Linked DNA regions of Neodiprion lecontei. The protein of the gene in region 1 purifies or fractionates together with the protein of each later gene. This does not show direct contact. Links are inferred from orthologs where the notes say so. Each region holds a gene or a part of one and is shown on either strand. Other genes may lie near its edges.

Region 1 (18,112 bases):
TTTCTGTGAATAAAGCAGCAGATCTGGCAAGTCCTTGCAGTTTCGAGCCATCAACCATGGCTGGTTCATCTTCTAGCTCATCCGTCGCACCTTCCAGCATACCATCGAGCAACGATGATACAGAATCTTTTTCAAATTTCCGATATAAATCTATCACCTTACTGTCGACATTTTGATATTTGACGAGGGACATCATTTGTAATATCTGACCAACCTGCATCAGGTTGAATCGAGCAACGTAACTTATTGGTGCATCAGTGATTCCGTATGGTTCCGGATTTACAATTGCTGGACAAATAAAGTAAGTGAATACAAGGTCAGTGCACATTGCGTGTACTTCCTTAGGGTCAACGTTTCCACTTTTAGCTAGAAGCCCTGCCATTTGTCTTACCAGCCAGCAAACGCTGGTAGGAAAGCAATGCATGTTTTCTCTAATGCTTATTATAAATCTGTTGGTAATGCGTTCGAGAGAATTGATTGTCCAAAGTCTGTAGCGTTGCAATTTAGATTGATACTCAAGAGTTCCCTCTTTCCCAAATTTTTTCAGACGCTCAGCGGGTGGAAATCGGATTGGGGCTTTTTCTGGATCAATGTCCAAGAACATTTCGTCTTCCATTAATAACTGCATAATTGGACTGTGCAAAGCTGCCGTGAGGAATAATTTTGCTGAAAATAAGCTTTCGTGGAAAACTGAGTAGAATCGTGAAAATGCACAGGTGCCATGTCTGAGTAATCTTCTAGGATTGTCAGATGGAATTATCTGAAGGAACATCAACTGCCTCAGCAACTGCAGAACCAGTATTTTGTCTTCTGGCAATAAACAGCTACCAAATAACCCCGCAGATAGCGACTGAATGACGCTCTGCATAGACTCTTGGATTAATCTGTCCCCTTCTACTAGACATGATGCTAAAAGTTTTGGAGATTTTCTTAAGGCCTGTAAAAATTCGCCGTAAGCCGAACATGCTTGATGACGCAAATGCTTATAAGCATCAACGAACTGTGAGTTTTCAAGAGTATTAGCCCGCTGACAGCACGACGCAGGTGTACAGTTTGGCCTCGATACTATCAAACGATTTAAATTAACTCTCTGTTGAGCAGTGACCCAGGCCTGTTGAGCCAAGTCTGAGGAAACATATAAGACCTGGAAGTAGATAATTTCTCATAAATAAATATGAATTCGAACTTAAAAGGTTTTTAATAAAAGTAATAATTGAGACAAATGATTGTTCTAAAATTTAATTCTAGTGCAAACGTAAATATATTTACTTTCTGATTCAAGTTCTGCAAAGTTTGTTGCTCCGCACTGACGAATAAACGTTCTTGTCTAAGGTGCCCAGCTAATTCGATCATGTCCCACTGCAAAGTTCCAAGGGAGTCGACACTATTTACTGAAGACATAGTGGTGAAATCTGTAACTAAGCAAAAAGTACTTGCCATAGAAATGCATATATGATAATTAGTCATTTATTTAATTCCATGCTTGTGATCTCTCAAACAAATGTAAGGCAAACAGTTTACTCCTGTATGTTCATAGATGTGCTTTCATTAGCAATGTAGTGAAAGAAACCCAGCCAAACATGTAGCTTATGTAACTATCCAGATATTTTTCTGCATAAACCACATGACCATAGTTGATGGAATAATGGAATAGTAGGAAATTTTTTTTTATGCCAGAACACATTTTTAAACTGTAAAACAATTGTTTATTTTGAGACCAGAATGTGTAATCTTAATGTGACAAAGAAAATGAAGTAATTCTATGTGTTTCAATAATTCCAACAGACTGCCAGAATAGTTAAATAACTGAGATTGATACATTTGTATTCTTGACGCTGATACTATTATCAAGAGCCGCGTGTCTAAAAAATAACTATAACAAAAGACAACCTATATGATGTGATAAAACATGCAATGTATGTACAAGCTTTGCAATAATAAACGAAATGTGATTGCAAATAATCTATAGCGCTTGTAACAGTTGCAGGATTGAAAGAATGCAATCGTTAAATGTCTGAAGGTCAAACAACATTGTACTGAAAAATACAGAATGGGAAAAAATCTTCCGATGCTCAAGTTGTCCTGTTCACTCAAATCTGAAGGATTCAAATATCTGATATATTTTTAAAATCGGGCATAAAACAACCTTAGATGATGACAGAGGAAATGTCAAATGTGACAGTTCAGTACTCTGACACGTATTTATTGTTTTTTTTTTGTTTTGGTGTTTTGTTAGTGAAAAAATTCTGATCGAATTCAGCACCATTTGTTGGAAAATGAGTGTTTTATGAAATTGTGAATTACGGGTGAATATTGAAAATAATTCCTCCAGCTTGAGTGGAAGGGAAGAAAATAAATTCGAGTGACAAATTCACCTACGCCACTAAATATCTAGATCGCACAGCACTAAATCAAAAATATTTCTAAGCAAGCTATGTAGCACACCTGTCTGCCACTGTCGTCAGTAAGTAACGCGTTATTATTGCCGTCCTCCTTTCAAAGCAACACCCCCAACTGATTCACAACCATTTTCTATTTTAGGTTAAAATTTTTTTTCTGAAAATGGCCGTTTTGCAAAACTACAATATATGCCGTGATCACGGTCTTATCATGATCTATATGTATACACGGTACTTTAAATCGAACCTATAGTTTAATATGGTAGTCGCGGGAAATTCGAATGAATGAGTAACTGCCAAGTATTTGCACTGTAGATGCAATAATATATGAATATTGTTTTTCATTTCAAGCACATTTCACCCTCACAACAATAAAAACAAAGATATATGTACTATTGGTATACGTGCGTAGTCAGCCCAAACTTAGTCATGTCATATTACGGTGAGCATGTATGTTATCCAGCAGACGAAAAAATTATGGCATCATTTTGTCATCATGTGAATTATGCTGTCAGCCGATTTCCAAGGTTTCTTAATTTTGAACGTTTATTAATTGTTAAATATACTACCGAAAGTTGCGTAGACTCGAATATCACACATGTAAACGAGAAAAAATATTAACAGCTGATAGAAATAAAAATTAGTCGTGTTCGAACATACATTTTCTATAAACCTTGAGAGGTTACGACACGGTTACGAGATTCGATAATTATGTTTAGAAACAAATTATACCATGAGTTAATTTTTTCGGGTGATTCAAATGTAAATATGCATTTTTTAGAAATATAATTCCATTTCACAATATACCAGTGAAGCTCGTTTTGAAAGACATCAATGAAACAATTCCTTTCAAATTAAGCAGAATTACTGAGATTTGAATCATCATATCAATGAAGTACTTGACATAATCTTACTATGACACTTGCTTCACCTTTTTTATCTTCTTACAACAGTGCTTGTTAATTTTTCCTTTTTTTTTTTTTGCCTCAACCTGACAATGTAATTTACCCGTAGGCTAAATAGTACTGACCATGGAACAGTCCATACATGTGGAGACAGGAGCTCAGCTCCTGGCTCGGCTCATGAAAAGACCCATTCTTCATGGACTGGAAAAAGATCTATTCTCTGATGGTCCAAGGCCAAACGAGGTGATTGAAGTATCTGGCAACTTGTCGAGCGGGAAGACACTTTTGATAACTCAATTAATTGCAAAGTGTCTCCTGCCGCGCAGGTACAAAGGCATTGAACTGAACGGACGAGAGGCAGGAGTTGTACTTGTGAATACAGATCATCATTTTCACATACCTACTCTGGTTGATCTAATGGCCTGCTTTATACGTAACAACAATGATGCAAGGAAATTAGGTACAACAGATGTCTTTGATGATAAAGGCATTAAGAGTATCATTGAAGATTCTCTTAGGTACTTCACCGTTATAAATTGTTATGAAAGTAGTCAATTCTTCTTGAGCTTACAATCACTCCAAGGTATACTGTCAAACGATGATAAAATAGCAATGATTGCTATTGATAGTATATCGTCTTACTATTGGCAAGACAGGAAGCACGGAGAATGTTGGTCAATGGACGGATATGTGAAGAGCTGCTTGAACATCATGCAAAAGCACACTTTTGGTCACAAAATCATTCTTCTTTATACCAGACCCAGTGACGTCAAATCAAAAAGTAAAGAGGCTGTAGTTCGTACCTCTTTACTAAATGAAGAAAAAATTCATTATAAAATACAACTTCATAAACAGCATGATGTCAATCAGTTTTCAGCTGTGGTTGAATCCGTAAGTGATAACAAAAATCTCAGTTACATTGTAAGTAACAACGGTATAGAATGGAGGACATGTTACAGTAAACGGTAGAAACGATTTAAAGTATTCCTACTCCAAAAATAACTTTTCAACAAACTTATAAATCAGAAAAAAAAACCATATCTATATATATACAATTAAAATAAAATAAAGAAAGCATTGTACAGTGTCAATCGTTATTTACTTCCCGAATGTTTCAAAAGTATATGATTTGTCACATCACATGGACTCAACAGTCTGGACCCAGCTATTATGACCTGAGAACTAGGTTTTTTGGATACAATCATATCCTGAACGATTTTTATTTCTTCTGCAACGACGCCTCCCAATACATATATTATTACATAATCGTTATCAAGAGGATGTTGTTTTGTTCGACCCTTTAAAAGTAAACTGAAATAGAAATTGAAAAAATTACCCATTATAATCCATCTGTCGTATAGAGTATACCTATGTATACATATTCAAAAATTTGCTATACTCACTTAAATCCAGCGGTAATACGAGAGAACGTTTTACATTGAAGGTCTGGAATTTCAGGCCTATCAGGATCAAGTAAATCCATTACCAGTTGTTGCAATATTCCAATGCATTGAGCCATCTCTTGTGGACTGGGCTTGAGCATTAATGACCTGCAAACATGGTTACATATTCAAGAACAAAACTTTTTCTTTAATTCACCTACTGTTCATTTTTGTTTTGCATTGTAACAAGCCCTTTCACTAATGAAAGAAAAATTAAAATTAAAGTTGGGTTCAGAATATGTTCACCAAAAAAATTACACAATGTTAATACAAATACTCACTTGTACTTCTGCAAAGATTTTCGCATCTCTGCTATTCTGTGAAGCTTTACCATAATATCATTAGCAATTTGTGTAGAAGTTCCTTCCGTTAGTATTCGCTTGCCTAGTTAATAGGATTTCAAATACATTTGATCTATTATTAACATTCGGCACTTAAGCCAATGCTCGGATTACGACACAATGATTCTCAAACAATAACAACTTGTCAAATGCTCACCAAACAATTCTGATGACAGATTCATCATTGGACTATCTGAAGCTGGAGTGAGTTTATCATCGTGTTTACCATCTTCATATATTGCTTCAGCCAAGGCTTCTTCCAACTGTTTCTCTTGCTGTTCAAGAAAATGTATTTCTGTTCCAGCAAGAGCATATATGTACACTAATAATCCCAACAGATTTTCAATCGATAAACCTCTAGTGGCACGAGTCTTTATGATGTTACTTAACTGTTTGAACACAAAAACATTTTACTATTAAAATGACATTAAAAGTACAGTCAAAACAGTCACGCTCATAGGTATTCTTCTATAGTGGATACAATCAATGTTGTGGTACAATGAGATAATGAAATCATGCAATCCTTACTTGAGTTAGTATACTTGACGAGTCTCTGCTGACTGCTAGGTTCTGTAGTATTAGTTTTTCAAGACTTATTATCAACTCGATTTGAGATGTCTTATTTGATTTCAATGCTTGAATCACTGCTAATATTTGCTAAAACAAATAAGCGAAACTTCTTTTACATGCAAAATATTTGAATTGTATTTAATTAATTTCATAACTTGGTATTACCTGAAGCTTTTTACTTGAGTCTAATATGAGGCTCAAATCATCAACATTTCTCAACTTGTGTACAAGTTTTTCTAAGCTATGAGCTGTTATTCTAGTGGCAATTCTTGTTTTTGGACTTTCCTTAGCAAGCAATATATCTGACAGTAATTTGTGCAGAGTTATTAAAACATCTTTCTGTTTATTTTTCATTAATTGATTAATCATATTAGAATCATTGCTGGCTAAGCACCCTGGTGCAGAGTACCTTGGATTATTTTCACTGAGGATAAAGAGAAGAAGTATTTATTTCATAACTGACAATGAGTGTGATGGTGTTATAAAACCTTTAAGTGACTGTTTGAATCACTAGTTTAGAATGGTTTCAGGCCTCAGTTGGCACTTTACATAAGATTAAAAGGCAGCTCAACAAATAATGAATTTATGCAAGTTTAATCTAATGAATTTGTGATACTCAGCTTTTGATACTCACACACCATCTTCATCTGGGCCCAATGCTGTCATATTCACTGCAATGTCATTCTGATGACCAGGCAAACGTGGCAAAGTACTTAATATTTTGCCTAACAAGGACTCGGTATTGTGACTTGAAGCTACACAGAGATCCAAAGTCCTATCAACCAGAATAAAAGATACTCCAGTAGTTTTGCCTGTGAGGCGCTGGGAAAATAAATTGCATTAAAATTTCTTAATGATTTAGTATTATAGCATTCAAACTGAAAAACAAAACAGTTGAACGTTGATTATTCGAACTAATGGAGACAGGTACCCATTCGGATAACTAAACTGGAATATTGCATTGCGAAAAAAAAGTACTGATTTGCTCAAAGTAATATAATGTATTTATTTAAAACCGACCAACATGTCAGTAGTACATTTCCTCTATTGATTGGGACAAATTTGATACTTATTTTTATCTAATTTACAACGTAAGCTCGTTTATAGTAAAATGTAAAATTCAATACCAAATTTTGTTTTTGCACAGTTTTGCCAATTGGTAAAGACTACCAGCAGAAATCAAATGTATGTAAGGCTTAGTCGTACAGATAACCGAACATTTGGATAAACCAAATCATTGTTCGGATATTGGACAATTCTGATAACTGACATTCGAATAATCAACGGTTGACTGTATAATTATTTCACAATAGATATTATTGAAGTCTACATTTGAAATTCACCTTTCGTCTGTCAACAGCAGCCGGTAACTTCTCCAGCTTCTCTGCAACATTCTCACTCAATTGACCACAGTAATAGATATCTTCTCGGAGATTGAAATTGGTAAACATGCTGTGCAAGGAGCTAACAAAGTGATCGATGTTTTCATTGAATTCATCACAATGATCTTCAGTACTAAATGGTGGCATTATTTTCCAAAATGGAGGAGTCACAAATAAATTTTCATTAATAGATGCTATGAAAATTGGGCGGAACATTATGTTGACAACAGGCTCCTGTGAATAAATTCAAAGTTTAGGATTTAGAGAGAAATTCAAAGAGTAAGAAATCCATCAAATATTTTCTGGTACAAAGATTGATAGTTTCATCAGGAAATTCATTTAGTTCTGCATTCTGTGTACATAATTGGATAAATGGATAAGTTTACCTGATCGAATTCCTCTTCTAATCTTGAGCTCATCCATCTGATTATATCATGTTTGAGACAATCGTAACTGTCAATATCAGCCGACTTAGAATCAGAACTATATTTCAAGACACTGCTGTGTGCAGCACATATGACAGTGCATTCTTCGAATCTGTTCAGATCGATAATTGTTTCTAATGTATGTCGATAGAAATCAGAATTTGCAGAGGTGTATACAAAAACTGCTTTTCTTGCCTTCTCGACTTCAGCGCCCTGAATATATGTAAAAAACAGAATGGCTTGTATAAAATAATAAGAAAATGCGAAATATTTAATTAACAACTTAAATAAAAACACAAGCTACCAAATCTGTGTGAAAAATGATTTTTTCATCACTATTTTAAAAAAATATCAGAATTAAACTAGCAAAAATCTTACTCGGAAGTTGTCCATCAATAACTCACGAACAGCAATTACTCCAGCATATTGCAATTGCTTAATTGTATTGTCACCTGTGTACCAATGTAAGCATTCCACCGCTGCTTTATCGATATAAAAAACAGCATTGTTGACATGTTGGAAAACATCCTTCCAACAATTGTCCGTAAAATATTTAACTTTGTTATCCATTTGAAGAGACGAAAAATTTCGCGAGCCTAGGTATTACTATGGACAGTTTTAACAGTTGTATCTTCTTCTATATAATTCACAGCACCTTCCTTTCGCTGTTTGTCTCCTGAAAATAAACATACAAAATAACTAATGACACGTATCGCTGACGATATTTCTTTTCTTACCTACCATTCATGTCAGCATGACAAAACGTTAGCAGACGACAGCGTGATCTAGCCTGACACCTCGGGTTGTTTTGGCAATTGGGAATCCCTAGGAGGGTTGTTGAATAATTAGGTTCCGAACCAGAGGGTCTCAACTGATTCCAGTTCCGAACAATCTTTGAATATCACTTTCTGGTTCTTAAACGTGACCGAATCCCCTAGGCGGACACGGAGTCACAGGGAAGTATCCGGTGCCCTGCGTGCCTCGGCATTCGATAAATTTGCGTGACGAGTCTTTCGGTTTCGATGAAATTTAATGCTCTACATTCTAGGTGAATCTCTAGCACAGCAGTTTGTTTGAAGCATCAGACATCTACTACAGAAATAAAATTTTACCCTAATTGATGGAACAACCCATTCTATGTTCAACGATTTAACTTTGAATTGAGGCGATGCCCATGCCGTTAACTTTAAAATAACTCCCTACTCTTTAGGGTACATCATTATTGTGCATACATACATGCATACCGACGTTTTCGCAGTTCGCACGACTACTGCGAGAATTTTATCAGATTTGTCATTACACGTTATTAAGTGACGGGAACGTACACATAGGTATGCGTGTCGTAGGTTTTTACTTGTGTAAGCATACACGAAGCACCGACATGACGCACACACATACATGACATATATATATCGGACACACTCGGCTGTCAACCAGCCGCAGCCCATACGGAGTGACTGGCTCTGGACTGCGTATTAAAAAAGTGATACAGACCCTGTGTATGGATTTGTGTCGGCAGTTGAATATTTTCTGTTGCATATATAAATAAAGAGGCTAATTAACAAGTGTAATTAATGCCTTTTCATTTAATAATGCATTCAGAAATGGAAGAATACGAGGCGGACGTGTCCGTGGTGGACGTGTACGATATCGCTTCGGAAATTGGAAAGGAGTGTGAAAAATTGATAGATGTTTTCGGGGCGGATTCTGTAACTAGTCTTATGCCAAAAGTCATCAACGCGTTAGAGCTCTTGGAACGATTAGCGACTAAAAATGAACGTGAAAATACTACTGTTCAAGAGCTCAGATCCAAGATTTCGCAGTTGGAGAATGATAAAATTGAAAAGGCAGAGGATAGGCAAAGATTTGAAAAGGTTAGTGTTTTGAATTGAAGTGAAAAAAAATTATTGTTGACAATTATTATCTTGAAATATTCAGTAGTATACCTTGGATCATTATCATCCTTCTTTCATAAACTAATATATATATATGTATATATGTATATACATGTAGAATCAGAACTATAATTAAATGACGCCTCAATGAAGTGTCCTTCATCAACCATTTAAATATTAAACAATTGGACATGTTATCCATGTAAACGTACAGTTTACAAAGAACTATTTGGATTCCAAACATAAATTTACAACATTCTTGGGTAGCAATCGAACTATTCAAACAATTAGTCACTTGAAGATATGTGTGTTGAGTTATCATTAAACAGTTATCAATTTTTAAATTGTAACAACTCAATGCATTATTTTATTAAAAGTGGTACAGTATGTATTGCAATTATTAACAGGAATTGGAACAAATCGAGGATCATTGGCGACAAGAATCGCGAGACTTGGTGGGTATGGTAACTAGACTACAAGACGAGAATCGCCGGCTAGCTACAGCCTTGCAAGAATCGCGTAGCGACAGTGAGGACAGCGGTAAACAAAGTACTAACCCCCTCCCTGTTTGTCTAATTGTGGAAGTACCACTGCATGTCACCAATTAGCAATGTAACATGAAAGCTTGTATGAAAAATATCCCCTTTATGTACCTACTTTCATATTTGGTTTCAGCATTCACTGCTAGTCAAGAGGTAGATGTTGCGGTACTGCAACGTTTAAGAACCATGATCGATCAACAAAGGGACCAAATTCGAGCTAGGGATAGAGAACTGTCTCAAAAAACTTTGGAAATTGAAAATGTAAGTTCACTAGCTATAAAATTTGACCATACTACTTGAAAAATAATTTACAGAGGAAAACTAAGACTCGATGAATGAATCGAAGCGGTCTGGAAGAGAAAGAATTGCTATGCCAAAAAGATTAATAAAGTCAGAGTATCAGAAGTTTTAGTTTTTTTGCCAATTTCAATTGGAATCTACAATAAATAAGTCAAAATATTATCATGATGCAATACCTATACTTAACATAATTGATTGATATTTTCAAACTCAATATATTTCTTGTAAAATCCAGTTGAGTGGTCAAGTTGAAAAACTAGGCGTTGTGGGCCGAGAATTAAGACGTAAACAGCGTCAGGCACAAATGCAAGCTAGAGGACTTGTTGAAGAACGAGCAGATTTTCTTGCCCAACTTCAAGACCAGAATCGAGAACTAATTAATCTTCGAGCACGTCTTGGTCTAGCTAGAAAGGAAAATGAGGACCTAACAAAGTGCCAGCCAGCTCCTGATTTTGCTAACAAAGCAGTATACGATTTGGATGACCCAGACCGGCCTAGATTTACCACTGCTGAACTCAAAGAAATCTTACATGAAAGGAATGAACTAAAAGCTAGAGTTTCCGACCTGGAGGATGAGCTTGAACTCTACCGCCCTAAGCCTGAGACGTACGTCGAGATGTTAACGCTATCTAGCACAGCACGTATATTTTGTATAAAAAGTTTACGTCAGCAAAAATTAACAGTCTAACTTTCGGTTTTTTTTTTATTAATACGTACATCGACCTCTACTTTTCATTTTATTTACTTTTTTAAAAATATATATTAATTGGTAATTCAAAATCTAGGTACTTCGCATTGAAAATTTTACAGATAGTACCTAGCTTATAGTACTGATGTACAGGACATACTCGACACAACTGTTTAGTATCTTAATGTAGACAGTATTTTTTACAGCTAACCATAGCCAAATTATTATGGTCATATTATATTATTTTCAACTACTCCAGGACCTTGAGTTGTGCAAGCCCGTATAGGTAATTTTAATTTAAATGAAGTTTATTTTTTATTTTTATTTTGTTATTTTATGTGTTTCATCTCCTGTATTATTTCATTTAATATGAACAGAGTTCGTTATTTTTCATTTGAGTCAGTCACTTTATCTCATGGAATTTTATTTTTGCTGAACATAACAATGCCATAAGCAATGATGTGAAACGTATCAGTTTATCCAGTTACTATTACATGCTGTGATATTGATGTTTGGTTGCTGATAATACAGATTACAAGAATAATGTACCGTAATGAAAATGGAATTCGGTATGACATTATGAGATATTAATTTCAGACTGGTCAAATAATAAACGATCATTATCATTTTGCTGTTAGCTTTCCTCATGCAATACTTCTAACTACACATAGTATATGTTCTTGATTATATTATTTTCTAATTTTCTGAGAGCAATTTACTCATTTGGAGTTAAAGGTTTCCTTTACCATTGATATTCTGCAACTCCTTAGTAAAATGTTTGCACAAACCTTCTGATATCCAGTCACTTTTGTTATTAGTTAGGCCAATAGTTTACCAATAAAAAGTGAATACTAAAATCCGTACCATAGATGGTATGATTTTCTTTCCAGTATTAAAACTATGTATACATTAGACCTGTCCTTAAGGAGGGCAAAATCGAATTTTAATGGTCTTACCCCCCAAATTGGTTCGAAATAATTCAAAAAAAATGTCCGAATTTTTAAAAATTTTTCCCTCCATATTTACCCACGCCTAGGAAGCCTTACTTTTCCCATAAGAAAAGCATTGGTTTTTTGGGATTTTTAATAGTTTTTTGACCACCGCCGTAATTATCAGCTAAAAAATTGCAAATTCTCAGAAAATGTTGACAGGTGTGTTACCTTTTTGTCCAATTCTTTGGAATTCGATACAAGCATTTTTGGGCTAGATCGATCACATCTTTATTCTCTAAAAACGCGGAAAAGAGTCGATCGATCTAGCCCAAAAATGCTTGTATTGAATTCCAAAAAATTGGATAACAAGGTAACATAACTGTCAACATTTTCTGAGAATTTGCGATTTTTTAACTAATAATTACGGCAGCGGTAAAAAAACGATTAAAAATACCAAAAAACCAATGCTTTTCTTATGGGAAAAAGTAAGGCTTCCTAGGTGTGGGTAAATATGGAGGGAAAATTTTTTAAAAATTCGAAGATTTTTTTTTGAATTATTTCGAACCAATTTGGGGGGTAAGACCATTAAAATTCGATTTTGCCCTTCTTAAAGACAGGTCTAGTATACATATATTAAACCATAGTCAATTCAACTTAATTCAGCTTGCGGCTTTTATCAAATTTAACAGTATGTTCTTGGGCATTAGAACTGGAATGAGTTATCAGTTTTTTTGGATACAGCTTATAATTAATTTTGTGAGATGTTCTGCAAAAATCAGATTCGCATTAATCCTCATATAATTTGAACAACATGAAAAAATGTCAATTCCTACTATTTGAAGTTAAAACAAACAGTAATGAGTTGTTTCAAATGCAGCAAGTCGTTGTTTATCATTTGAATTTGCACGCTTTTCAACCGCATGGCTGTTTGATTTGACCTACACTTACTACATGTGCACACCAATCTTGAGGCAGTGGGCAACCCGCGATTCCATTTAGTAAAGGACAGAATTACATCGCTACTTCTCCTGCCACAGTGACTAATGTTACTCCGTAAGATTGCTCCTCAGCTATGCTAATCTAATATTAAACTATAACTCAGGCTATATTTTTTTTACCGAAATGCTTCCTTTACATTGAATTTTATATTCTCATAAACCAATTTGATTGATACGTGAGATTGTTTTATCAAAGTAGTGTTTGTTTATATTAGCCCCGAAGATGACAAAGATGCACCAGTACAAGGACCATTACCCTTCGAGCCAGATGATGCACCTTGGAAAAAGTCATCAGAATCTGGGATTCGCAAATTGTAAGCATGTTACATAGGAAGAAGTTTATCAATATAAAATAAATTTCAAAAACGGGCATTTACCCAATTTTTTCAATGCATGCGTTAATCTTTTATAAGTGTACTAACTACCATTTCTTTCTAGCTTCCGCAAAATATTTTCTGAAAGCAGTGGCAGTTTTTTAGGCAGTAGCAGCCCAAGGAGAAGTCTTTCTAGTCTCTCCAAAATGGCATTGTCTGGCAATGGTGCAAGTGATACATCGATTTAAACAGTCAATCATTAATGGTACTGAGTATGCAAAATGGTATTTGAACTTCGTGATGTACAACTCATTATTAGACGAACTTCTTATGATATTAAATAACGAGATTCATACTATCAAATGTCGAAAATCTGTTGAAAATCTTTTAATTTAAATAGTCGTAATTGATTGAAATCGCATTTATTTTGCTGTTTGTATATACTATAACTGTTATTTCAAGTTTCATTTTTTTTATCGTTCGAAATGAGAAGTCTAATCACTTTCGAAAATTGAATGATGTATATTTATCTCAACTGAATAGAAAATACGAGTTAAAATATATTATTATACTAGAAGTGCTGTTATGAAGTATGTATATTAACCATCAGCATTAAACACATATCTGTGCTTGAAAATTCAATTCAACATTCCGGAAAAAGTCTAGTGAATTAGGACATTAACATAAAAGTAATTATTCATCTTTAATGATATCAAACAAAGCTTCCTTTTACGAGTTTACAGAAATTGCAATGTCGAAAAAAATATTTTACTACATCAACACTAAGTAGACTTATTTTTATTATTGATTTTGACAGCACCCTCATTTAGATATGTGTGTGTGACACACATACACATATAAAAACATATCAAATCTCTTAATTCATATTTACCAAAACTCCTATGTACATATGCCCTACCACAAAATACATTGTACTTGTGAATTGATAGTATCGAACGTTAAACAGAAGTCCATTGCAATGTATTCATAGAAATGTTAAGTACATATTAAGAACACAGGATCCACGTAAAAAATAGGTAGTATAATTTCGAATTTATCGTACAGGGGTAGAAGACCAATAAAGCATCCTACATTTTCTGGTTTTATAAACTTTATAGCAATCGTATCCAAATTATAACACATGAAAAAAGATTACATGCTCAAGCTTAGAATAACTCAGTCACTGATGAAATTTAATGAAGTAAATTTGTTTTTGAAAGGTGTAATACCTAGTATCATATAGTCTATGGCAAATTGCAGTTAGTGATACAACAGTGATTAATCATTATTGTCATCAGCCCGAAAATGATGCTGAATGTATAACTCGGGAATCTTAAATTTAAAACATATTGGTAATAATGAAGACCAATTGTTTTTACATGCTTGCATGAGATTGTTCCACTAATCTGGTTGCACTTAAATTGTCTAGCTTATCACTTTACATTGACTCACGGTCTTTCTAATATTGGCGACTACTGATATATATATATATACACATACATATATCTATCTACAATCATTATCTACTTGATTTTACTTGATTAATCGAATGAAAACCATTGAGGAAAACGCTCTCGGAATCCGCAACTTGCTCGATTCTATCAGAATTCGACCGTTGATGAAATCCTACCGTTTTGACAACTTTTTCCCGTAATTCAGTTAATCGATAAAAACTTAATTACAAAATATTGCATTTGACGAAAAATTCTTTTGTTAATCCACGACGATTTTTCAGAGAATGTGAGCGAATTTAATCAAATTTTATGATCTATCCTAAGTTTCAAAAAGAATGTTCTTTTGGTAAAAATCAGAGAAGGTAGAATTCCAAGAGTAACCGTATATTGCTGAAATGACCGTAATCCGAATTGTACAAAGACTTCCTTGAAAAATTATTAAAAATATAACAAACTCCTTTGCAGAGTAATTCTTAGTCTGATAAACAACTTTGAATAGCAATATGCACATGATTACGTTTTTCTGCATAAATTTTGTATTAAAAATTTAGCAGCGCTGCGTTTTCAACATTTATTGTATTATAGAGTGCCAAAATGAACATTACTGTAGGATTGAACCAATAAAAGTTTTAAAAAAATTAACAATACGCAATATATAGATTTATGTGTCTAAAACTGCTTGCCAGTATTCTTCAACGACACTCCAATAAGTTAATGCAGCATTACAGGTAGCAAACTAGTAGTATGGAAGGCAATTATTGAAGACTAATCGTGAACAATTTTAGTACATATCGATTTATACATAATATTGGTATCTATAACGCCAACGATAAGCTGGTACTGAAGAATATATTGATTTGATGAGTGCTACTGTATCCGCTTGACATTATAACCAACAGTTGACACGATAGTAGTGCTGAAGTAATAAAAAGGCTTTACAATATAGCTCGGGTGATCTGGTAACAAAGATAGTTTTAAAAAAAAAGGGATGACGTGCTTCTTTTTTTTTTAATTACAAGTTGGTATGTTAACTACTTATTACAAGTGCAATACAGACTTAATCTCACTTTTGACGCATACATTTTATATCAAGTCTTATGGATGAGTAAAGTCAAGTAACTGGACAAGATTACCAATTACTTGATGCAAAACTTACAATTACTTAAACTGATAACTATCGACTGGCAGTATGTGAGGATGTATGGGCATTTCCATGTCACTGGAGTAACTTTTTATAACTTCTCGTTTTTCTATTAAGTCATTGTAATCACCCCAAAACTGAAAACATGAGTTTTCATAAGATCTTCATGTTTTGAAGTCTAGAGATTCTACTCCAATCATTTTCAGACGAAAATCTGCGTGTGTGTGGTTGTATGTACGTAGAATGTCCCTTATTTCGGATGTCGACGAATTTTAAGAAAAAAGATCAGTAAAGTTTCAAGCCACTATATCAATAAGAACATGTGCCTCCATAAGTAGATGCAAAGAAATTCTGGTGAATAAGATTTTTTGGTCAATATCAAATTGTTTAAATTAAAAAATTCCAGCAATAAAATAAAAATGATACCTTAAGAATGAATGAATGGATACGAATGAGAACTGGTACCATAACATTTTTTCTAAGGTCAGATTTGCAAAATTGATATTTGGCGCATTAAATATTCAATGTGTTGGGAAAAAAGAAATTTAGGATTTTGTTGAAAATTCGTACTCAAAGGTTTTTTGGGTCACTGATTACGAATTTTACTTTGGGCTTCCAAAATTTGAACTAATGATTATTGTTGTTATTATTGTTATTATTTCAGTACGAATGAGTTTGAAAATGAACAGTTCAAAGCTTGATTCATGGTCAGTCCAAACCTGCTTGTTTCAATAATGCATTGAAAAAATAACAAATACTTTTGGATGAAGCTGAATATAAATATGAATGCAACATTCTTTAATTCAATGCGAGGCTCGAGACATTATAGTGAAAAAGAAATGAATTATTTATGTATCTTAATCTGAGAGTTCTACCTAAAACATGTCTAAATTATATCAAAACTACCTCTGCACGCTTCACGCGACCACCCAAACCGTTGGGAAAAATAAGGATGGAAAGCCCATGCACATGTATAAGTGTGTTAATCTATCGATTTATATACTATATTGTTTATTCAGTTCAGTAGCACCAATATGGTGCCTTAATGCACTATGTTATGAAACAACTGGGGGTTGAAAAATTATGATTCTACCTGATTACTTTCAATTACTGACATCGCGTTATTTCCTATTTACGAATATTGATTAATGCTAAATTAGACTAGAGTGTTATAAGTCAACATTGTTTAAGTTAGCAGCAGAACCGGTTGGTAAATCTGGTGGTAGAAATTTACCTATTGGTTGAATGGCCTTTCGTTGTTCAGCCAACATTCTCATTTCCTGTCTAAGCTTACCTAAAATTGCATGATTTGGCTGATTTACCAAAGCCTTACCCTGTAGCAGCGTGATTTCCTGTTCTAACTGCTTTTTTTCTTTGAAAGATTTTACACTCCGTGATCCGTACAATCTTAACAGTGAGCCCCATGACTGTATGTGCGGATGTAATCGTTGCAAGATTGCTTGTGCTGCACGTTGTTTACCATCTTTTTTATTTCGACATACCTTTAATCAACATTTTAATTCAAAGAAAAACCAGCACAACCCACTAATTCATTTACTAAGATATGTTTTTGCAAATCTTACACTATAATCTACGTTACAATCCATTTCATTGTGCCTGTTAACTTCAGAAAATATGTATTAGAAGCAGTTTGTTACTTACCACAGTAGCTTCATGTTTACCAACACGCATTGTGAACTCATTGCGTTGGTGTTTCAACGTATTCACAGAATAATTTATATGCATATCGCCAAGGCCAAAATTCCTCTGTAGACAAGTAATCAAAATTGCATGAGGTGAAGGCTCTGTCGTTTTTGCACAAAACTCAGCTACCCGTGGATCAGTTATTGTAATTTCGTCAAAGAAAGAGAGGTCAGCCTCCGATGTCCCTCGTGAAGCCTTGAGAGCCCTATTAGAATTATTTCCAGTTCCGTCTCCTGACTCTCCTGAAATCTTATCACGCATCTGAGGAATTAGGATTTCGAGTGTTTTGCGGGCTGCATTGGCTTTTGCTTGTTTTTTGCTGCTACCGAAACCACTGCCATATTCCATTTCATTTATGCAAACCACTGCTGAGTATGGCGTCGACGCATTTTCTACAAATTAATGTTTTACTTTTTATTTGTGTATTGGCAGGATAAAATTATTTGAGAAACGTGAAAAACTGTTCGATTTATATGCCGCTTTTGCATATTTAAGCATATTTTATTCACAATCAAATAAACCGCTGATATTTATTTATAATACCTCGTAAACAATCAAAAATAATCATTCACAGCAGGACAAATGAGGATCCTTCCAATAAAAAAGAAGATAAAGGTCTCACCTAACTCCTTAAATTTATAAGTTGGCTGCTTCTTCAGAGCATGTTGTACATATTCATG
Region 2 (15,616 bases), on another chromosome or scaffold:
CTACTTGTGCCCTATCTTTCAGCTACGACGAATCATTTTACGGAAAATTTGTTATTGGCAATTCTACATACTTCATTGCGAGTCGGTGTACATTCGATTAAACTAGGTGCAAGGAACATGTTGCGAAATATAAATTTGTTAAAAACGTCCATAATACACACCGGAAGTGGACGTTTTGAATTCAACAGTTTTTCTTCACAATTTGAATTGCCATATCGACCATGTTATCAATGTTTCCGAGATTTTTTTTCCACTTTGGTCTCTTCTTTTTTCCCAAAACGCTGTTCCAATTTATTTTACTTCTCATCATTAAACTTTTACTATTGATAATTCCTGGTACAATATCAACATCTTTGGAACCTGTGTCACTTATTATATTGACCACCGAACTTGTATCCACTGTGTCCATCGAATCCAACTGCCACGGTAGTATTCCAATTGGACAACTTCCCCAATCAACACTTTTTTCTACGAAAAATAAATTTGTTTTACAGTTAACTGAACGAAATATGCCATTTTTCCTATAGTTAGATATTCTTCTGGTGGTTGGGTTTAAACTGAAATACTAATTCGTAGTTGATAAAATAACTGTACCTTTTTCAAGTATCCAGTTTGAATTTCTGGTTGTTAGATCTGCTATTTTAATATTATCTTCGAAATTGAACTGTTCCAATCGCTCATCACTTCTGATATTTTCATTGATATGATCTTCAAACAATGCAGTAAAATCATTGATGGTTTTGACATTTTCGTTACCAACTAATTCAGTCTGGTCTTCAATATTTTGCCCTGCTGTATAAATACTGATAAAATGAATAAGATTTTCCCTGACGTCATCCCTTATGCTGGGTGTTATCAGTTCCAAAAGTGGTTCAACGAAATGATTAGAAAATTTGCTATTCAGATTAGAAATGATTGTTCTAACAAAATCTATATCAGTCAAGAAACTGGGAATTTCACCTAAGACATTTAGCCATAAAATATCTCTAAGTTCGGGAAAGTTTCTATCAACTTCGTCTCGAACTTTGAGAGACAATATGGTTGACGAAGTTCTCCTCCTTTTGTTTTCTCCGACATGTTCCAACCTATGTTTGATTTTGTGAGCTAATTTTATTTTGCACAGACTAGACGCTATATATTTCATCCACAAAGATGCAATAAGATGCTTTTGCTCATTCTCTGTCTCATCATTTATCAGTTCCAATAGCCGCAGTATTAGTTTTTGTAAAATTTCCTTCTCATGTAACATTGTTATAAACTCTTGCCAAAAATTGATGAAACGTGATGGAAGACAGTTACAGTTTTCAGTATCTGAACTTGATTTCTTTCTCCTCCCAAATATCTCAAGAAATTCTTCGCTTGGAAGGAATGCTTCCCCTCCAAGTAGAACATTCAATATAATTTCGTCTTTATCTGGTGGAAATTTGTTTTTGCTCAAATATTTAGATATTTGACACAAAAGATTGCTTTGTTCTGCTACCAGTTCGTGTTTCTCATCATCACAGGGATCAGTGTCATTTCGAGTTTCTGTATTGACGTCAATATCGATGTATTCTGTATTTTCGTTGTTTGGCAAGATCAAAGCATATGCTCGTAAATTACTCAACGTTTCTCTAACAATAAAAAGAATAACAAATAGAAGATATTTCACTTTATATCTAATGAAATCTATAGTCACCAATTATTCCTGTAAACTTATTCTCTTACCTTAACTGTGCATCAGGTATGTCTTTTATCGAGGTGTAACCAGCATGGATATATAAACCAACTGCGATCCACAATTCAATTAAATCCGTTAACGTCTGTGCTTCTTCTGGCTCATTCTCTTCTTCCGCTTGTTTAGTAATGTTATCTTCCATAGCTTTCAATTCTGTTGCCCAATATTCTTCCTTCAAAATGTAAAACAGAATCAAAATAAAAATTCCTTTCATTAGCTGAAGACTGGGGAACCTGCACTCAGAGAATACTGTTTCTGCAAGGCGAATCCACCATTAGAGTTATGTGACAAATGAATTTCATAATCATAACTGAACCTTCTTCTAAAAAGCCGGATAGAAAATGGTTAAATTCGTTCAATGTTTTCCAAAACTTCCACAACTAAATTGCCACATTTTTCAACAATTTGAATCAGTTTCAAGCAGTTTGAGACTGTAAAAATATGTTGACGTATTATTATAAACTAGGTAGATTATAAATGTTGTTTTTTTACAAAATTAATTTGCACATATACCTAGGGGAAGTATTTCTAAATTTCACATTCCCAATCCTAAGTTTATAACTTTTTTTTTTTAATTTTAGGCAAGTACTGACATGGATTTCATAGTGTTCTTCCTTTCTTGGTATGACAATATGCAAAAAATTTAACTTACATGTAGCCATTCGAGTAGTATATTTGTAGCTATACGCAATACATCGAGTGATGGTAATTCATGGCCGTGTGCAGCATCGTGTCGTATGTTGACAATCCATCGTGGAATATTAAGCTGTTTAGCTATTTGAAAAAGGGAAGATTGCTTAGTTTCGCCGATGTTGGTTATGTGATTAAGGAACCTCATGATCGTTGTTGAGTACATCAGGCAGAGATCATTCTCATAATAAGCCGGTAAATCTCCTTTGTCAATCTTTGGGGTGATTTCCCTGTCTCTGAGGCAGACTTGCATAATAGCCAGCGTGCATTCGACGCCAACTGGCAATTTCGGAAGCCTCGCTTTCCATACTAGTAGCCTCTTGTAGCCTTTAATCTGCTCAACCGTATCGTTGGAATAAATTTGTTCGTACACGTCGTGCCACTCGGTGCTGAAAAGTACAACTGGGGGTTATGTTATGTTGACAGCGAGTTCAATTCGGAAAGGACACTTGAAGGCTAATTAATTTCAAACCGTTCCGACGAATGGACGAATGGAAAGTCCAGTTTTTCGAAAGGCCAAGATTTGCTAGTGATCATTACTTACAGCGAAAACCATGGCACTTGCTTCCGATGATCCCGCTTGAACGCCATTTACAAATGTTTAGCATGCTGCGTGGTCACGCATGGCATGTGGAAAGACGAAAATGACCTCTTATTTCTCTCTTTAATGACGCATGCGCAGTACTTTAATCCGCAGCCAGAGATATGAACAAAAGAGATAAAAGGTAATTACGCCCATATCTCCGGTTCTGATCAAGTCATTGCAATGTTCTTTTTTTTTAATTAAATTATATGTATCGAAAGAGTAATCAGAAACTTGAAAAATGTCTGAATAATTTGAAAATAAACAAAGTTATTTACATTTGCGTATGCACTGAAATTTTAGATCTTCAAAAAACAGCTATCTTCTTTTTAAAGTTACTCCTAGGTGTTACAGTATGAAAATAGGTACTGGAAGCTGTAAACTAGCACCATGATTTTTTTGCACAACATAGGATAAATCTGCCGATAGTTATCAAAGCAATATGGATTTGCGTAGGTCGCTTATTGTTCACTTTATTGCTCAACTATGTGACGTAGCGCGGTAACTTGAGACTAATAATTCGAGAAAGATTGTTCTAAACGTCGAATGAGTTTTGCGACATGTCATTGAAAATTTTCCGAATCAATGGCAATATAAACAAAACGACCGATGTCCGTGTTTACTAGTAATGTACCAATTTTATAAAGGCCAATACAACGAACAACTTTTGAAGGAACCATTTTTCTGTAAAACCAACAAAAAAAATGACGTCAAATTATATCGTTTTAAATATTACAAAAAATTTTACCCAAAAATTTGTACTTAATTTCTCTGGCACACATCAGGATATCTTATTGAGCATCTAATAAATCTGTAAAAAAATTGCGGGGTTCTGTTTTTTTGGTAATAGGAGCTGAGGCATTGACTGCAGATATTGTAATATGTTTGAGGGTCCCTTAAATTTAAAAACTTGTATAACCCTATAATCGGAGCGAATCTAAGAATGATTAACACTTATTTAATATAATCGTACCAAAAGATGAGTCGCTTTATTTTTGTTGGTATAATCGAACCAAGGTTTTTGAGATTATTTTGGATGAAGAGATCGTTTATTGGTTTATAAGAATTAACCATAGAAACCCAATTGCCACTTTATTTAAAATCGAAAGACACTAATATTAATAGACATTATATAAACAAAAAAACGTAACTTGTCTTATCTAAGCTACATTTTAGATTAATATTTATTTTCGAAAGCATTCAGTTCTTCACACTTAACATTTATTTCCAGGGTCCCGATATGATATTGAATCTAGGTCGTATTTCCCTCCACCTAATTTGAACTTAACGCTATACGTATTATGTTGATCACGTATTGGGACGAATTATTGCTGCCTTGTTCAAAACACGAAATCTCCCTGAACTAAAAGTTAGCGCGTAGGATAAAATTTATTGAAAGTAAAGTTCAGACGTTGTGTAAAGTATTGTCAAATTAATATTTTTAGCATTCCACGAGAAGTCATATGCATTTCCTTACATCATCTCTGATTTGATCTGTAATTGTTTCTACTAAGCTTGGACCTTGAGGTAAAACTTCTGGCTGCCGAGGAAATTAATCTTGATAATAGTTTGTAAGTGTGGTGTTTTTCATAACTGAAAATCTGTTCAAACGGATTTCGACCAAGAAAATTTTTAAGGTATATTCAAATGACGAGAAACACGTTTTCACCACCAAAAAAGCAGCACGTTTTTTCCATTTTTTGCACCGCCTAATGACCAATTTACAATCTACATCATATTTTTCACCTAAACTATTGAGTTTAGAGGAAAATGTTTTGTATAAAATAGATGCATTTGCATACTCATCCTTCCTAAAATAATCTTCTCCTTCAGCCTCGACTAAGCACTGAAAAAATTCAATACTGCTTGAAACATTCATACGAATTTATTTCAGGAAAATATGAGAAGAAAATAGAATCACATGTCTTTGCTGATTTCACACAAAATTAAGTTAGTTTCAGAGTAGGAAATAATTTATCGCTTTATAAGCGCACGTTCATGTGTAAATACTTAATCTAAAGAAATTAAATGAATCGCAAAATTATGAATACTGATAATTCATTTCGTATAAAGTTTCGTGAAAAATAGGATTTGACATTGTTATATCACATATGAAGAACTGAAGGGTTTAAGGTGTAGAAAATTTTTGCAGAAAAGAACTTGTTTCTGGTTATTTCGGCATAATTTGAAGAGTTTTTGGTTCAATTTGATCTAGAATCTTTTCAATAGCCCGAAGGGCTTCTTAGAGCTCAAACGGTAAGAGAAAAATTATAGATGTAATCGAAGATCATGGGGGGGAACAAAACATTGAATTGTTCGCGGAACTCCCGGTTTACAAATCGTATGTAGACACCTACAGACGTCTGTAACAGAGAGAAGAAAAAACACAGTATTTTATAAAAATTATTGCAAAATCAATTGATTGCACAAAAATATTATTCTGCATTATGTGTGATTTACACATAAAGTATGAGGAACAGAGAACTTCAGGCAGCCAGCAAACTACATTATAGTAGGTACAATTTATCTGCAACTCTTTTATCATCATCATCTAATACTATGACATTTACAATTTCTTATATTTTAAGTATTTATCTACATAAGTGTTTTGGAAATTTACAACGTTCAGTCTGTCAATACTACTTACTAGAGCTTCGTCGAACACCTGATATCGATAACTATGTTACACTATTAAAGAATGCAACAGTGGTTAATGAAGAAACATCTTCAATGTAACCAATTCCTGATGTATGGTTACACCTGGTAACACACACATTTTCTCTTTCTATGTCACCTCCTGTGATGGATTCTCATCAGTTCAAGGTCAACTGTGTCATCTACTGTGCAGGTTGAACAAATAGTAGCAGCCGATACCAGTGACCTTCGATAGGTCAGAATCCACTACGGGAGACGTACATACATACATGTTTACAGATACTGTATCTAGTATATCGAAAGACTTTTGTTAATTGTCCAAAGTAATCAGTATAAAATTTAGTGATTCAAAGTGAAATCAAAAGGATATTTCGATGCATAGTGATTTCTGTCTTACCATGAATTATAGCTCTCACAAAATTACATTTATATAGAAAACTTACATAAGAAAATGCCCATCTTTTTGTGGGACTCTTACTGGTTAATTATTGATATTCATCTGCATAATTTTCACTGTACAATATTGGCATCGTTCATTTAAACCTTCTGTTATAAAGTAGCTAATATCCTTGTGAATCCAACACAAGCAGCCATTACAGTTTGTCCGATACCCCACAGTAAAGCATATAAAGGCAGCATCTGATAGCCTGATGCACGGTAGACAAATGCTACTGCTGCGGAACTCAGAATTCCTGATGTTAACGGCAGCAATACCCCCATTATTATTATTAGCAGTGGGAAGAACCTGGATCAAATAAAATTATCCTGCCTTACATGGGTAAAAATGGAAATCAACAAATACAACTATATGCTCTGTGTTTTTCAAACTACAAAGAACACAAAAGACATCCATGTACTTACTTTCCATATTTATGTTTTCGTAATGTGGCAAAACAAATTGCTGCTGCAATGGTATGGACGAATATGGACGAAAATAATGCCCAGAGAAATATCTGATACCACATCTCTGGAAAATAATACATTATGACAAATTACAAAATGTGTTTGTGCCATAAAATCTAATTAACCATTTCCAATTAATTTTAGGAAGAAATTACATACGAAGAAATGAACTGAGTGGATTGTAAAGTGCATTTTCATCATTATTTGATGTTGCAGTAAGAGGTGTTGGCTCATTGGACATTGCTGTAGCTGAAATCACTTTGTGAAGCATCGCCTAGCAAGCAAAGACGCTATTAAGTACCATCAGAGGGAGGTCTCATCATAATGAAGCGAAATCTCCTAGGAAGATAAACACAAAGTAATTAATGGTACAAACACAGCATTGTCTACAAAAACATCAAGATACAAAATAAATAATGCTCAAACGTTAAACAAACGTTGATATGTGTGAAAATCGAGAGGGCAATTGGATATATGATACAATAAAATTACAGTGATTTTTCCCAAGCAGGTAATATTTTTTAGTGATAATAAATAGAAGCGAACAAGAAGTGACAGTTTTATGCATATGCATATATATGTAGATGCGTTTCTTAGTACTAAATTAACTTCATTGAAAAGCGAAGGGCAGCAGTAATTTTATTACCTAAGTAACTTGATCAGCATGCCATGTGAATTATATTTTTACTTATGTCAGATCATCTGGCTGTCAAATTCCCGGAAGCTCGACTCGAAATTTTACCGAGATCTGTCAAAAGTCTACTTGTATGAGAATGCGTGTACTTGGTGCTCTCTGCTTGGTGGTGGTACGTATGTACCATAGACTTATAAAGAGTTGAGACTGCGCGGTCTTACAGGCCACTGAAGCTAAGACCGAAGGACAGACATAGTCTGGGCTGTTCTTTTTCCGTCGCGCGATCAAAAGAGTGGGGAGCAGCTGCGACGCGGGAAAAACGATATTGGATTTGCAGCAAAAGTGCGCATTGAATTCTTCAGTCAACTTCAGTCAACGCTGTGACCCTCGATCCTCGGTATAAGCATCCGCATAGAGAATGGATCATGTCTCCCTTACCTAAGCAATGCACGGAATATGTCCGCCGCTCTGGAAGCAAGATAAAGAATTATTAGTGACAATCCCTGTCTCTTTCTAAAGACCGCTGTTGACTGAAGATCTTCATCGACATAACGCAACGAGGACACGAATCGACCCGTATATGTTTTGTAAGGATTCTGTGCCCGTACTGCAATCTGTCTCTTTCTATTCGGCAGATACATTGTTGAACTACTCTCGCAGTCCATTCTCTATGTCGATGGGTGTAAATCCACTAGTTAGTAAGAAACATACCTTTAAGTAAAAACAAAATAAACTATAAACTATAAACATTGTACAAAGTGTAACTAGTAGATATTACGTAGTCATAAGTAGTTTAAAGCATATAACAAAAATACTTGGGTATTTGTAAAAATATTTCTTCCAAAAATAATTAAATGAAATATTATATTGACATGTATAGCAAAATAAACAATACTTCGTTAACAAATATCACTGCACATACAAAACTTGATTTAATCCCAGAGGGTAGGTATTACAACTTTGAATAACCCATTGTAAAACAATAAAATTAAAACACAAAAAAACTTTTAAACTGAGAAGGTTTTCCGGGAGACCATAGACTATCGCCGTACTATAGGCAACCCTACCTACATGGAGTACTTCTGTTGGTAAAGAGATCAAATACATAATCAACACCTGTAACTGAGAAAATTGCACGTATGTACTTATATTCCAATATCGGTAAAGTTAAAAGTCAACAATTAAATAATTTCAAAACATCGCGACTTATCTACGGTGTCTTCACAGTTCCACCAAGATTACATGCCGCCCACTACAACTCCTGTCTTGAGCAAAGTAAGGTGAGTTGTATGTTAAATCATTACTCTTGCTTGAGCAAAGTAAGGTGAGTTGTATGTTAAATCATTACTCTTACACAAGTTCTTTCTCAAAGATTATACCCACAAGTTCCTCATGTTAATTCCATTACGCGGTCTTTCCACGCTCGTCTAGTGTCCTTCAGTACACAATCGATATTGGCAACCAAAATTGCTGATTGTAAGTATGTCCTAGTTCATTTTCGTGATTCAGTTTGAATCTAATTCTTAATTTATCGGACCAAGTGCTCGCAGCGCAGGCTTGCGACGGAAGCACGTAATATGGTTCGACAGCTATCCGTGCACACGTCGAGTTGATCCTCCTTTAACGTCCACGTGTCAGCCATCTTGAGATGGTTTTTTGTTCGCGGGCTGACCGATGAATTTAATACAAGTGATGAGTTCGTAGGATACGTAGTAGCCTGTTAGCACGATCCAATAATATCCGACGTTCGTTCGATTTATTTCCGTTAAATTCATCGCAACCACTCTGAAAATAGCTACGGCTTGTGGTGGAAAAAAAAGACAAGGAGTGACCAGAGTGACCGCGCAATCTCCATGCGATTCGAGTAATTTGCGGTCATCGAAAGAAGCAACACTTCAGTATATACTACTATAAAAAGAAAAGAACGAAAAATAATCTGAAAAAACCCGAGTGTTATTGGTTGTTTCTAGAATTAAATCTTGTTTTCACTCTAAACACAGCCGTGGAAGAGGATACGTACATAGGAAACACGAGTTTCGAGTGAGATGGCCAAGAAAACGTACGACCTTTTATTTAAATTGCTATTGATTGGCGATTCTGGTGTTGGAAAAACGTGTATTTTATTCAGATTTTCGGACGATGCTTTCACGACAACATTTCTCTCTACGATAGGTAAGGAATATTATCTTCTTTAATCTCATCTATGTAAAGTGCGTTACACATTCATTTCCGACGATGACGACACAGTTGTAAAAACAAATGACTTGTACTTGGTAGGTTGAAAAAAATTCATCGTATACAAACACGCATTGCGTGCACGATAGTGTACGTGTATCGAACTGATAGCTTCAATAAAACTCGTCATCTTTTAAAATGTTGCAACTTATACGCGCCATATTATTATTGCTAGTCAAATTAATCCTTGAATATGTTAATTATTAATACCACATACGTTGGTACAAAAACGCATAGGATGCGGTCTAGCTGCTGCATGCTTTGTTCCCCGAGACTGAAATTCTTTGACTATAAATAGATATTTCTTTTATTGAGGTACAGTCTCATTATGCGAGCCAGATCATTTAAATTGATCAATAATATATGATATATTGAAGATGAGCGAGTAAACCCTTCCAAAGAGTAGAGGAATATTCTGTAGCAGACACTTTCTCCATTTAACTCGTTATATTATACATATGTATTTCATTTATTGCAATCTCACCGCATTACCATAAGATGAGAGACAATCTGTAACGACTACTTTTTTTGATTCTATAATTATTGCTAAATGTTGTATGGAAATAACACTGTCCCACATGGACTTTCCATTATAAAATAAATCAAGCTTCTTCGATAAGCTTTTTTAATTTTTCAATGTCGAACATGGGACTGTTGATGGAAACTTTTGATCATTTCGAGTTATTAAAAAAATTGGCTCCAAGTGTGACGGAAACATTTTCGAGTTACTAGTTGTGACTAATGGTACACAAATGAGATGGTTCTTGCTTTACTCCGTTCCAATTTTCATTAACCGCTGAGGTGATTCAAAGCTGCTGGGAATAGTTTGGCATTTGGTACAAAATAAAATCATGAAGTTAATCAGTTAACCTGTTTTTTGATGCTGGAAAATAATCAGTGTCTATTGGACAGCGCGATCTATTGTGATATGAAAATATTGTGGTTAGCTCATCATCATTGTTAGTGAAATACTCAGCTTTCTGCCGATTCTTAATTTTCATGTTTATTTTTCTTGCAATATGTATATCAGGGGGCTGCTTTTAATTTGGAAAGTAACAGCAGGGATAGCTTCCATGATCCTAGTGGTTGAGGCCTGGTATTTTGGGAGACACGATTTTATTTATCACATTTAATAATATTTCATATTAAAATCGTGTTAAGGGAGGTATCACTACAGGCATGACGCATGGATTACACTCTGAGTCAACTATAGATTAGAAATAATGAATGAGGCACTCGATGTCGAGTACCTCTGCCTTTCGCTTCATTTTGGTATCTGTTATTCATTGTTTCAGTGAAAGCTCATGCGTCATTGTCTTTAGTATCAATTGTATGTGAACATTGATAGTATCTCTTGTTTTACTACTATTGTTACTACTATTGTAAGTCTGTACTACTATAATACTAATTTCAGTATATATACCATGAAAAAACATTTTGAACTGTCAAGATATCGTACGTATTACGAGCAGAACAATATATATTTGGCGAGGAATACTATACATACCTAAAGTGTCGATCGATCAGGCTTGATCAAAAACTTTGATACTGAATTTCAGTAAGTAGTTCTTTGTAGGTTATTGAAACCTGGTAAGCAAAAAATTATGAACTTAATACCGATAATTTATTTGTCGATTATTGGAATTTAGTATTGGTGATAGTTACGAGTTTTCGATCAAGTTTGCTCAATCGAAACTTCTGATACATAATATTCAATTACAATGATATCAAATAAACCAATTTTTAAATGAATGCGATATGGTTGAGAAACGTATAACTCAAGTTTCAGTTCGCAGCAAGTAATGTCAGATTGAAATAAAAACTGTTACCTCCATGCGTATCAGAATGAGCTTGTCAAGAACTTCGTTCAAAATAGAGATTAGGAATCCTTTGAAACCAGTTGCAACTATCAGTTGATTATTGCTATTAGCTGTTATTTGTTTTGGTACCTAGTTGCTGAATCTTCACAATCTCAAATCCTGTACACAGGGTGGCCCAGGACTATCGCCCCATAGGCTATTATTGTGTTTCTTGCGAAAACCTGCGACAAAAACATTATTTAATTTTGGTAAAAAAGTTCTTGTTTGTGAACAAGACAGCAGGTCAGCGAATGACAGTCAAATGACAATCCGCCAGTGCTATTGTGAGCCATCAGACGCTACTGAATTGGCCAACTTCACACGGCTGTAATTTACAAATAATAAATTTCTCATGAGAAATGAAAAAAAAAACAAATGTGCCAGCTGCAGATTTTCATGAGAAATACATAGATAGCCTATGGAGCGATAGTCTCAGGTCACCCTGTGCAATGTACGTTTTCCAGAAATCATTACAAATCAACACAAAATGTGAACACTACACATTTGCAATATTTACTTAGCGTAGACATGCACTTAAGCTTGTATTTAAATATTAATGGCATAGTATTGGTTGTGTATGCGAGTTTTAACAGACTGTTTTACAACATGAAAGTATATACACACATCTTTTTCATGTTTTAATTTCATTTTCATGGAAAATTTTTTTGTAAAACTATGCGCTAAATCTTATTCATGAATACAGAGTTTGCATGGGCTGCATGACTATTGTTTAAATCACTTGCTGTGATTGCGAGTACTACTAACAGAGTCTTCAGACCAAGTTTGGAATTGAAATAAGTTTAAAAATTTTGGTCGATTGCAGGATAAATTACATAGCGGGACAGGTAGTAGAAGGTAGTGAAAGTTTGTTTTAGAGAACTTGATATATCTTTCCTTGCTAGTCTTGTCGCTAATCCTTTACCTATGTCCCTCCTCCGTCAGTCAGTAGCATTTTCCACATTTGTGGACACGCGTGACGGACGTCTGTCCCTTTCAATCGGTCTTCCAAATTTCTCGGGTCGCTCGAACGTTATTAAATTTAATTAGGCCCTTGTCACGTTAGGCCCACGGTAGTATCCAATCGTCTTCCTGCGGGAAAGCTGTGGAAGGCTGTACATAGCCTGTACCGTCGACAACTGGATTGCAGAGATGCTCCTGCCGCATTACCTGGTTGATCCGGGACTGAGTTATTGACCGCGCATTCCTCCAAATGGCACCCCACTGCCATTGGCGTTGCTGTGCGATCTATTCCTTAACTTGGAAAGATGCTCAGGTAATTGTTTTAAAAGTTTTTCACATCCTGGAATTCAGTTTCGGCAATGGGGTTTATTTTTTATTGTTATGTTTTTTTTTTTTTTTTTCTTGTTAATTAATCATGTTTATATTTCATTTTTAATTTTCTTTCAAGTTGTAGATAGATCTGAACATTCAATTAGATAGACAGATTATATCTCTCGGCAGAAGCATCTCCTCTGGTGTGTATTTTTCAATCTTTGGCCTGTAGTCTCGCTGATAGAATAATATTATACAGGTTATCCAAATATATCAAAAAATCATCAGGCATTTAAAATCAGTAGATCAATGGTGGAATATAAATATTGAAAAATTCTCCCTGCTATGGTCTCAATTCACTCTACCTAGGCTGTTCAATTTTTCGTATCTGTTAATATTTAATGGAAGACAGTTGTCGAAGTAGATGACAAAGATAAAAATTGACGCATGCACTTATTATTAAAAACAAACCAGTTTCTATTAACAATGGAAATGTCGGACTGTGATACTTGGTAACACAAAATTTAAATGTACTGCTCTAACTATGCTGTATTTAATTTTAAAACAGTCGCCAAACTATTTGTTACACTGCACTAACTCAACATAACAAAACATAAGATTGCCTTGCACAAAGTTTTCTGCATCTTTTTATTCAAATAATTCACCTGAAATGATCTAGTGATAGCTTACTTCTCGGTACCATATTGCTTTGCCCGTGGCTACTTTTGTACCTAATCAATGGCAAATTACCGTCAGGTTTTTAGTCATGCGTTTTTCACAGCCAACGTCTACTTGTTCGGAACCATCACAAGATAATTTCATGTCCCTCAGATTTTATTATGTACTTTTACGTACCGAAAACTTGAATAATTACTTGTAGAAAACACAACATCCAAACTGATTAAGTCCTTGTTCACAGTGGTTATTTTATGTTAGTCTTGGCTTTGCTGGTAAATTTTTTGGTTTCGGTCTGTCTTGTCTCAATCAGATGCTTAATTACCATGAACTGCATGATGAACAAAGGTACAATTGATTTGTAATTTTATTTTCATGTCTTCTTACCAAACAATCCAGAAACCATTTTAACACATTAATTTAACACATTCACATATAGAGAATATTATCTTGGTGGAATACCTAAATGGTAATCTTCATACCAGTCAGAAATGTGTAATGGACATGATTCACTACTCATGTGTAATTTCCTTAGATAAGGCACTGAAGATGTTGATAAGAAGCTATTTTACGTTGACTTTCGAATAACAATCAGAGGAAATTACTTATACTTGATGATGTTGGCTGTTTTCAGTGAAAAAAGTTTCATGATCGTATTTGTCATTTTTCACTCTACAAAAAAAAGTTTAAAACAATCTGCTTCTAACGTTGTTGAGGCTCTCTTCGCTGCGGTCTGGCTTGTCTATTTATGCATATGTATATCGCTATTACTACATCGATTATCTGTAGTGAAGTTGTAACAAATGATCCTTAATATATTTCTATTCTAAATTACAAACGGAAAAACAAAAACAGGGAAAAGTAATATTGTAGCAACTGTGCAAGGAGAATGTATTCACGGTGATTTCAACAGCGATTTAACTGAATGCGTGTCCATGACTAACAACGTTTATAGGCAGGTCGTAGATTTCAAAACTCATTAAACAGTACGCTCATCACTAGTGTAGAGTTCTCTTATTCTATCTTATGGTACTGTGGGAGGTAACATTTTAAAACGCAAATACTACCTCAAGTTATTATAATAGTTTACTGCTAATTTTTACTCCTAACATTTTTCTGTACTTTCTACAATCATAATAAACATGTTAAATGTGATGTAATACTAATAGTGTCAATAATCATAGTAATAATAAAACAACTTTCGTGTTCAGGTATTGATTTCAAGATAAAAACAGTGGAATTGAGAGGGAAGAAGATCAAACTACAAATATGGTAAGTTTATTGTTTTCAAAAAATGCCCATCAAAGTCGGCTTTTCAACGATTTTTTAAGAATGTCTTACTTATGCAAAAGACAGTAGTGTTCGGTCTGTTACCATTACACATAATGGTGTAATATTGAAAACAATCTGGCCATTTGGGGAGTTGGAAAAGTCAAGAAAGTGATATGAGCTCATTTTTCTTCCCCACTCGCTATAAAAATTTATGTATGTTTTCTTTGAAATTTCCTACCAATTGCATCGAAGTCTATGTTTTTCTGGAAAGTTGTGTATAAAAAATTCCATGTCATTATCTAAGTACAAAGGTGGATGTTTACTTCTAGTTAAATGACTGTCCTATATCTGCCAGCACAAAATTACTTGTAGTAGAACATTACGCACTTATGTATGACGAATAACATCTTTCAGGGACACAGCTGGTCAGGAAAGATTCCACACTATAACAACTTCATACTACAGAGGTGCTATGGGAATCATGCTCATATATGATATTACCAATGGCAAGAGCTTCGAAAACATTGTCAAATGGCTGAGATACATTGATGAAGTGAGTATCGAAAATATCGTTCTATAATGTCTGCTTCATGGGAAAACAGTGCTAATCGACAAACGCTGAAACAGGATTTTATCCAGCACAGAATATAATTATTATACGTACCCATCTGCTAGGTCTGTCTGAATAAGAAGAAAAAAACGCGCATATCAATTACTTTTTTTTATACAAGCTCGAAGATTTGCATATCTAACATATGTCGACCTGTCACACAGATGCTCATACATATTTTTTTTCACCAGCACGCTAATGAGGATGTTGAGAAGATGATATTGGGCAACAAGTGTGACATGCATGAAAAGCGCGTTGTTAGTACGGAAAGAGGCGAGGCAGTGAGTATCAATTTATAACTACAGGATAGTTGATCATTTAATCTTAATTTATTCGCAAAATCACTACACTTAACTATGTACGGATCGATTTGTGAGCACAAAACTATACAAAAGTTTGACTCAAGCAATGGTGGTACCACTAGTCACTAACGCACGACCTGAAGTGTGTCTACCATTTCAGATTACATATTTTTTTTTATTCAGTTATCTAGCAAACCGTTGATTACCAA

What was found.
Region 2: the proteins of RILP-like protein homolog (region 1) and ras-related protein Rab-10 purify together in Homo sapiens (co-immunoprecipitation; 3 studies listed by BioGRID and IntAct, with this or other methods). This does not show direct contact. The link is inferred for Neodiprion lecontei from reciprocal best matches to the Homo sapiens genes RILPL1 and RAB10.

The regions. Positions count from the first base shown.
Region 1 is NC_060262.1:28,337,744-28,355,855, forward strand, and holds RILP-like protein homolog, read left to right. Parts: upstream 1-8,898; 5' UTR 8,899-9,038; coding exon 9,039-9,338; intron 9,339-9,766; coding exon 9,767-9,908; intron 9,909-10,034; coding exon 10,035-10,162; intron 10,163-10,436; coding exon 10,437-10,807; coding exon of another isoform or gene 10,808-10,851; intron 10,852-11,148; coding exon 11,149-11,175; intron 11,176-12,796; coding exon 12,797-12,874; intron 12,875-13,018; coding exon of another isoform or gene 13,019-13,034; coding exon 13,035-13,133; intron 13,134-13,257; coding exon 13,258-13,381; 3' UTR 13,382-13,775; downstream 13,776-18,112. Other genes in the region: GTPase-activating protein and VPS9 domain-containing protein 1, read right to left, coding at 1-1,144, 1,270-1,418, 3,430-3,502; DNA repair protein XRCC2, read left to right, coding at 3,501-3,547, 3,631-4,273; sec1 family domain-containing protein 2, read right to left, coding at 4,399-4,615, 4,708-4,854, 5,028-5,130, 5,245-5,476, 5,616-5,744, 5,823-6,081, 6,292-6,479, 7,001-7,273 and 2 more; microprocessor complex subunit DGCR8, read right to left, coding at 16,898-17,230, 17,391-17,824, 18,055-18,112. UniProt on the Homo sapiens protein: Plays a role in the regulation of cell shape and polarity. Plays a role in cellular protein transport, including protein transport away from primary cilia.
Region 2 is NC_060261.1:28,615,415-28,631,030, forward strand, and holds the start of ras-related protein Rab-10, read left to right. Parts: upstream 1-8,837; 5' UTR 8,838-9,227; coding exon 9,228-9,354; intron 9,355-14,434; coding exon 14,435-14,495; intron 14,496-14,909; coding exon 14,910-15,048; intron 15,049-15,296; coding exon 15,297-15,386; intron 15,387-15,616. Other genes in the region: uncharacterized protein LOC107225833, read right to left, coding at 182-468, 595-1,613, 1,708-1,889, 2,370-2,796, 2,952-2,998; transmembrane protein 170A, read right to left, coding at 6,195-6,390, 6,507-6,612, 6,708-6,819. UniProt on the Homo sapiens protein: The small GTPases Rab are key regulators of intracellular membrane trafficking, from the formation of transport vesicles to their fusion with membranes.